Linked DNA regions of Tribolium castaneum. The protein of the gene in region 1 interacts with the protein of each later gene in a pairwise test. Links are inferred from orthologs where the notes say so. Each region holds a gene or a part of one and is shown in the gene's direction. Other genes may lie near its edges.

Region 1 (3,982 bases):
ATGGTCATGCTGTTGCGTATGTTGGTACCCAGATTTTTATCATGGGTGGTGTCACAACCATTTATATGAGATGTCTATCCAACATTGAGTGTTTTTGTTGGAAGCGAGGTAAGTGAAAACTAAATGAGAAAGTGGGTGTCAGTTTATGAGGGAAAATCATAAAAAGCTGGTTACTCGGGAGAAATAATATACCTCAAGAGCTTGTCTGTTCTCTCTTATTTCACTTCATGAATTTTTAAATGAAATTGGAGAATAACTCGGAATAAAGAATTTATGAATTACAATACCTAAAAAGGCAGAAAATAATTAACTTGAGAGCTTAAATTATGGAAAACACCCGATAGCAAGAACAGACTTGTGTGGGCGCAAGAAATAATTTGTCGTCGTGTACAGAATCCAACAAAGTTGGGAGTAATTCTGATTTAAGATAATATAATTCAGAGTCGAGCGTTTTGTCACACCATTTCCATACTTAACTTTCTAAAACTCATTCCAAGTCGTAAGTTTATTATTCACGTTTTTCACATATGAATGCAAATGCGGGGACTTTCATACAAAAGCGTGCAAAGTTTTTAAAAATCTCCACATTCTCAATGAAACAAACAACTTCTATTTTCCCCATTTACAGTGCGCCAAGTTTGCGTTGGCTTAATCCAAAATCCATACTACATTATGTAAACTTTGTTTTCGTCTCACATTACCCAAACAAAGCTTAATACCGCTTCCGTAGTGAATAAATTATTAAGCTTCATAGTCTAGCCTGATAAAATGGCAACGTCGCACTGTGTGAAAAGAAAATTGCAACAGTGTTAATTTTTTAGGTGCTTGGATAAGGGGCATTGCCGATTTACCGGTGACCTTATCAGGTCACGCTGCTATCACTCTTCCTCCCGCCATGCTAATTTCAAACGAATAAGTGATAAAAACAGGAAACAATATTTGATGAATTAAAGATTCCTGTCGTGGGCGTTGAATGAGTGCGGCATCTGATTGGGAGATGGCGCCGCGCTACTTGAAGTACTTTTACACCATAACCATAGTTTAGCTTTAGAAATTATAAATTTAGCGTTTTTTTATACTCTAATGTTGTATTTAAAAATGTTATACACGACCGTACATTTGCTGCTTTTTTGATACATGAAATAAAGATTTTTACCTTAAAATCAATGATTTTTCCCTTTGACATTTCAGCATCTTGTAAACAGGTCTGCCAGCCAATCTGATATTTGTGATTGGGTGCGGTGTTGTTGTGTTCGTTATCGTATATTATCGTAATTTAAAGGGAAAAAGTGATTTTGTGGCGCAAGGTAAGTTATTTCGGTGTAAAATTATCAATTTCATTCATTTGTAAGTGTGAGAGTGAGTTTTTTGTGTGGTTTGGCCAAGTTTTAAAAATGTCGATGAACTGTGTATGACAACATGGATCTCTTTGTGAGTGGGTGATTCTGATTCTGATTTAGTCCGATGTCTGATCGGTTTGTGATTGCAATCTTTGGAAATTGTGATCGTTACACAAACGAAGCGTCTGGTGTTTAATTAAATGTTTCGGTTTGAAAGCACGTAACGATTCCTCATCCGGCAATTCCTTGTCACTGCTCGAAATTCCAATGAGATTGGTCATGAGATTCAGAGAATTCCATGTTTCAGGTGTGGTGTGGTAATTCGCCATGAGTTACTTACAGTCCAACCCGAATAGACCCAGTAAGTTGCATTCTTGTATTTTAATTGTTTGGTGTTAATTAATTATAATCAGTGTGTGAAGGTTTCGTAAACACTTATTGAGAGAGGTTTCCAGTTTGATAAACATCCTTCAAATGTAAGTTTATTCGGTTACAGTCAAAGGTTACAATGAGAATTCCCTTTAAAAACCATTCCAGATGGTGTGTTTATAATTGGATTGTTAGAAGAAGTTTATTTCCTCTGCAATAATTCATTGTTTGATTATTTTCCACTTTTTCTTGTGGAGGTTTCGGTATCTATGACCCCAGTTGTGACTAAGAGCCTATTATTCATACAAATCATACATTCTCATAAAAAAATTAAGAAAAAATTTGTGTATAATACATGGGCTTTCTTTACTCGTTCTAGAGAAATAATCTTTAAGGAAGTACCATACTATTATATTTTATTACAATTTAATAAGCATATTTATTCCATTATTAGTTAGTACAAGATCTTCTCTTACATAGAAATAAAGAGTTCTTAGAGTATATTCAACATTTAGCAAGTATTTGACCCTTTTTTTGACTAGATATCAGTCTAATAAGCCTACAGAACATGATTGTATGAAAATATTGGAGTCGTTTTCCTAAAGTGAAAACTTTTTCTGTGTATTTGGTGATCTTTCCGAAAGTAATTTTGCTGCTATCTCGTATTTTTAGTATCTTTTATTTACATGTATTCGTTCTCCTGAGTAACTTTTTAACCATATATTAGATACGTGGTTAGTATTGGTATGATTCAATGTTTAAATAAAATACAGATATGTTGATAACGATAAGCAATATACCTGAGTAACGGTTTTGTACGCTAACATTGAAAGAAGCAAGTGTTTAACTGTTTAAATTGCAATTGAATTTTCTTACTAACTCTACAAAGTAGGTACAATTTATTTTTGAATTATTACTTATTTGGTTACAGTAGCATAGTTTATTTTAGTTTATTCTTATATTCTAGTTTATTCCTATGAAGTTACAAAATTGATTTATCGTGTATGCCAAAAGTTGCGGACAGGCACTTACGGCTGAACTATCCGAAGAGGAACTGTTCAAGCAAACGCGTAAACGCAAAATTTGTAAGTTCAAATTGCTTGAAAAAAATATGTTAACTTTCTGAGAACTTTAGCAACAATATACATCCATTTGAAAAAAATTGTTAGTATCATTTAAAAATAAAATGAAAAAACCTCAATTTTTAGTCATTTTATTTTTTTAATAAAAAATGGTACTATATTTTTTGATAATTTTTTTTGTGGGTATTTTATGACTTACTTGTAATACTGTATTTTTTCATACTATTTGAACTTTAGGTTTTTCCATAAAAGCATTAAGATTATTACGCTGTTTACCCCGTTATAACTTGGTTACAAATATTTAAATCGAGATAAGAACTGGTCCATGAGTAATATGTTAACCTAGGAACAACATCCAATTGTAAAAAAAAACAATTTTGTTTATTATTTTTCTTAAAAAAATTTCTCAAATTAGTGCATTCGCACGGCCACGTGGACCGTGAGTCCAGTATAGTTCAACCTTAAGAGCTATACAAAAATAAAATTAAATAAAAAGCGATACAAAAATTCACAAAACCTTTCGTTTTGTAAACAAAAGTTGAAATAAAAAACAAAAAGTGACAACGTCGTAAGAGAATACTTTATTGTTACTTATTTAGAAAAATTGTAACCAAAAGTATTATCATAGTAATATTTGTTATTGACTGCACCTTTAAAATTGTGTTTTTAACTCATTTCAAAAACCAAGTGAAATGTTTTCTTACAATTTTTTTGAAAAAAGTTGGATAATAAATCAAGTAAACATTAAAATATACCATTTTTTGTTAGTAACAATTTTACGCCTTCTTTTTAACATTTGAATTCTAGATTACACTATTTTAAAACACGCTTTCTAAAGCAACGTGTTTTAAATTAAAATGTTCCAACAAAAAAATTGAATAACTTTGGCAGCTGTTTGGAAATAAACGGCCAAGTTTTATAGTTATTAATAATACGAGTACAAAAACACAAGCTTAATGTTCTCTGGTGTTTAGGTATGCAACTCGCATACGCTCGTTGCATAACGACAGCTCTCGAACATTAAGCTTGTGTTTTTGTACTCGTATTATTAATAACTATAAAACTTCATTTTGTTCATTTCCAAACTGCTACAAAACATTTAAAAAATCCCATGCTACTTTGTCTGAGTGAAAAAAAAATCAACCACACTCAGGGATTATCAAGTAAAATAACTAAAAAAAGATTAGGAAA
Region 2 (4,233 bases), on another chromosome or scaffold:
CCAACACAAGTAGCACTATCACGCACTAAGAAAACACCACCTCCCCGTTCTGCCATGAGCAAATCGGTAGCTTCTTTCCTGCTAATTGGACCAAAGTACCAGCTAAAAACAACCACCTTTAAATTTCTAACGTTAATACGATAAAAACATACCTGTCCTTATCTTCATGATCAAATGTACTAGCCATTTTCTATGGTTTGCACTATTTTTTAATACCACTTGATAATATAATAGCAACGGTTAAGCATTTTCTGAAGGTACTCCAACTTGTAATAAATAAAGACATTTACATACCTATGTACAGTCCAATATTGTTTAACGCTATTATTAATTGGCGTATTTTAACCTAATTTTTTTTCTCATATTATATTATGCATTTATGAGTCTTCTTCAAGCGACACATATTGCTGCAGTTTTTAAATGGCCTCAAATTCCGGTTAAATTACCCCAAACTTGCACCTTCACCCCTGTTTATTAAACAGACATGTCCCTACACTCTTATCAGCGGCTGCACCACACAATTGTTAAAATTTATCGCATGATACTACCGTGGTCCGTGGTATACAGTCGATCTCGGAGCAGCCAACACCAGCAGCGCCAGATATGGCCGACTGACCTGGCCTGCCTCCAAGCCTTAGGCCACAAAATATAAAAACTAACGAGAAATTCCCTTTCTAAAAATTTGGATTTCAAACACAAACGCATACAAATGGCCTTATTTCCGATACCGATTTATACCAGACTTTTCCATTGACACTACTGACAGATGCGTCTTTTGTCAAAATGACATATCGGTTCGAAATTGACAATGATAATGATAATGACAACCAAGCCACTACCAAGCCCTCTGAAATTATTTTATTATTTATTTATTTTTATTATTTTTATCGAATTTTCATTCAAAACGATTTTATAAATGAACTTATTTTAAATGTATTGAAGATGCGTCTACAAAAGGCCGTCATATTTTATTTTGTAAGTCTAAAATAATATTAAATTTTATTTTTAACACATTTATCTTACTACCTATGTACTTATCACCCTGTTGTGGGTTTGTAATCAACTAATGATTAATGAAAAATAAACAAAACAGATCAGGTATGTCGAACACGTTTGTAAGAAAAATAAGCACGTTTTTTATGGCAAGAGCATGCAAATTCACTATTTAACTTATCTACAAATATTTGTTCCTAAAATTGTATATTGAGTGAACTGTATAGTCGTTTTGATTAGAAGTTTTTTCTTCTTCTTCAGAAGGTGTTTGCCAGTTTTTGCTTAACCATATTAATCTAATTTTAAAAATCCACATTATTCAATCTATTACATTATATACAACAATAAAAATTCTTTTAAAAGGGCGCCAGTTTTCAAGGTTCGCTCTGGAGAATTTTCTTCTTCCCCGTTGGTAGTTTCGTTCTTGTGCCAACTTTACACTGACGCTAGTTAGAAATAATTTATACACAAAAGTCCTTTTTTCCGTTGTTTGGTTTATGATTAACAAAAAGTCTTATTCAATTATTTTGGATGTACAGTAAGGTTGTCATTTGATAAGATAAAGTTGAGTATTGATAAGAAAAGTGACATTACAAGTAGTGGGAGTGGTTCAATTTGATGTTTTGTTAGTATGGCTACTCTGGAGTGAGGTAGAGGTATGTAATTTTTTCAGTCATGAACTAATGACTGTTCAGTGGTGATTCATCGTCACAGTTTATTGCAGTTGAGTGTCTGGAATTTTTACTTAAAGTAAAATCTCTGTGTGTGATAGGAGGGAAGAATCTTGGGAAAAATAGGTAGGTAATTTTAAATTTTTTCAAGTGGTATTATTTTATAGCAAAGCGTAAACAGAGAACACCTAATAAACTTAACAAAAGGAATTGGATAAGCAATTAAGACATAAATCTCATTACTCATCTGTTTTTAATAATTTCTCTCGATTTCTCGATTGCTTTTAAATATTAATGAAAATAAAAAATGTGACTTTATTTAAAATTTATAATTCGCTACGCTACATAGGTGTCTCAATATTAAAAAAAAAACACTAAAACCAAGAGTAAAAATTTATTAAAACCGTTTTAACTTTAATCTAGTTTTTTTGGAACTTTTTTTTTCTGTGGTTGTAGATCTGGCATAATGAATGATCATTTTGGGTTAAAGTGGGACCCGAAGAATTTAGAAATAAGGACAATGTCAGTTGAAAAGACATTGGAGCCTTTGGTTTTACAAGTCACGACTCTTGTAAATACCAAAGGCCCCAGCAAAAAGAAAAAGGGCAAGTCGAAGAGAGCTAACGCTCTTGTCAGCACCGTGGAGAAGGCCACGGAGAATTTTATCGAAAAAGGCGAACAAATCGCTTACGAAAACCCCGACATAACCCAAGAAATGCTCTCTGCTGTTGAGGAAGTTCGCAAAACCGGTAACGCGATGAGTATCGCCGCTCGTGAATTCTCTGAAGACCCTTGTTCCTCCCTGAAACGGGGCAATATGGTGCGTGCTGCACGAAATCTTCTTTCCGCTGTAACCCGTCTTTTGATTTTGGCTGACATGGTCGATGTTCATCTCTTGCTCAAATCGCTTCACGTCGTCGAGAACGATATCGAAAAACTGAAAAATGCGTCAAGTCAAGGCGAACTTTTAGATAATATCAAGGCCTTTGGCCAGAATGCCAACGAACTGATGAATCAGGCAGCTAAGCGCCAACAGGAGTTGAAGGATCCTCAGCTGAGAGATGATTTAGCTGCTGCTCGTGCTGTACTTAAGAAACATTCCACTATGTTACTGACAGCTTCAAAAGTCTACGTCCGTCATCCGGAGTTGGCAGCTGCGAAAGCTAACCGTGATTATGTGCTGAAGCAAGTTTGTGAAGCTGTTAATACGATCAATGACGTCGCTCAAGGAAGGACACCGCAGCCGGCTACAGGCCCATACGATGGTCCTGGAGAATTAGCTGCAGCTCTGGATGACTTTGACGATCATATGGTTATGGAGCCGTTGGCTTACAACGAGGTTCACACGAGACCGTCTCTGGAGGAACGTTTGGAGAGTATCATTAGTGGTGCAGCTCTTATGGCCGACTCCAGCTGCACCCGAGACGAAAGAAGGGAACGCATAGTTGCCGAATGTAATGCTGTCCGTCAAGCACTTCAGGACTTGCTTTCTGAGTACATGTCAAACATCGGCAATAAGGAAAAGAGCGAAAGTTTGAATCGAGCCATCGACAATATGGGCCGCAAAACTCGCGATCTGAGACGGCAGTTGCGCAAAGCTGTCGTCGACCACGTTTCTGACAGTTTTCTCGAAACAAACGTTCCTCTCTTGGTTTTGATCAAAGCCGCTCAAAATGGTAACGAGAAGGAAGTCGAGGAGTTTGCCGTTATGTTCACTGAACACTCGAATAAGCTCGTCGAAGTTGCCAACTTGGTGTGCAGTATGTCAAATAACGAGGACGGTGTCAAAATGGTTCGCTACGCAGCGGCACAGATTGACAACCTCTGTCCGGAAGTAATCAACGCTGCTAGGATTCTAGCAGCGCGACCACGTAGCAAAGTTGCTCAAGAAAACATGGACGCTTTTAAACAATCATGGGAGAATCAAGTCCGGATTTTGACTGAAGCAGTTGACGATATTACAACAATTGATGACTTTTTGGCTGTATCGGAAAATCATATTCTAGAAGATGTAAATAAGTGTGTGTTGGCGTTGCAAGAAGGCGATGCCGATACCTTGGACAGAACTGCAGGAGGTATTAGAGGGCGCTCAAATCGTGTCTGTAATGTTGTCACTGCTGAAATGGATAATTATGAACCTTGTATTTACACTAAGCGCGTTTTGGAAGCCGTTAAAGTATTAAACGATCAAGTGATGCCCAAATTTAGTCAAAGGGTCCAAGTTGCCGTTCAAGCTTTGTCTAGCGTTCCCACCAAAGAGGTTGACGAGAATGATTTTATTGACGCATCACGATTGGTGTACGATGGAGTGCGTGAAATTAGAAGAGCCGTCCTGATGAATAGAGTAAGATGAAAACAAAAAACGTGTTATCAAGACTTGTTACAATTTGTTATAGGCTGATGAAGATTTGGACCCCGAAGATGTAGAATTGGATGAAAATTATACATTAGAAACCCGTAGCAAATGTACGTTATAGTTTTTTTTATTATTTTAAAGAATTCATTTTTATCTTTTTGTAGCGAGTGCTCACACTGGCGAACATGGTGTGGATGAATATCCTGACATCAG

What was found. The genes of interacting proteins can lie anywhere in the genome.
Region 2: the proteins of armadillo segment polarity protein (region 1) and alpha-Cat interact in binary tests that used the Drosophila melanogaster proteins (3 or more experiments, as listed by UniProt). The link is inferred for Tribolium castaneum from reciprocal best matches to the Drosophila melanogaster genes arm and alpha-Cat.

Annotation. Positions count from the first base shown.
Region 1 is NC_087395.1:16,174,458-16,178,439, forward strand, and holds the start of armadillo segment polarity protein, read left to right. Parts: upstream 1-1,182; 5' UTR 1,183-1,307; intron 1,308-1,342; exon of another isoform or gene 1,343-1,431; intron 1,432-1,647; 5' UTR 1,648-1,667; coding exon 1,668-1,701; intron 1,702-1,753; exon of another isoform or gene 1,754-1,816; intron 1,817-2,486; exon of another isoform or gene 2,487-2,597; intron 2,598-3,982. Other genes in the region: uncharacterized protein LOC660622, read left to right, coding at 1-108, 822-916. UniProt on the Drosophila melanogaster protein: Isoform neural may associate with CadN and participate in the transmission of developmental information. Can associate with alpha-catenin.
Region 2 is NC_087403.1:7,328,194-7,332,426, reverse strand, and holds the start of alpha-Cat (catenin alpha), read left to right. Parts: upstream 1-1,390; 5' UTR 1,391-1,649; intron 1,650-1,717; 5' UTR 1,718-1,790; intron 1,791-2,120; 5' UTR 2,121-2,130; coding exon 2,131-4,008; intron 4,009-4,060; coding exon 4,061-4,130; intron 4,131-4,184; coding exon 4,185-4,233. Other genes in the region: adapter molecule Crk, read right to left, coding at 1-102, 153-187. UniProt on the Drosophila melanogaster protein: Associates with the cytoplasmic domain of a variety of cadherins. The association of catenins to cadherins produces a complex which is linked to the actin filament network, and which seems to be of primary importance for cadherins cell-adhesion properties.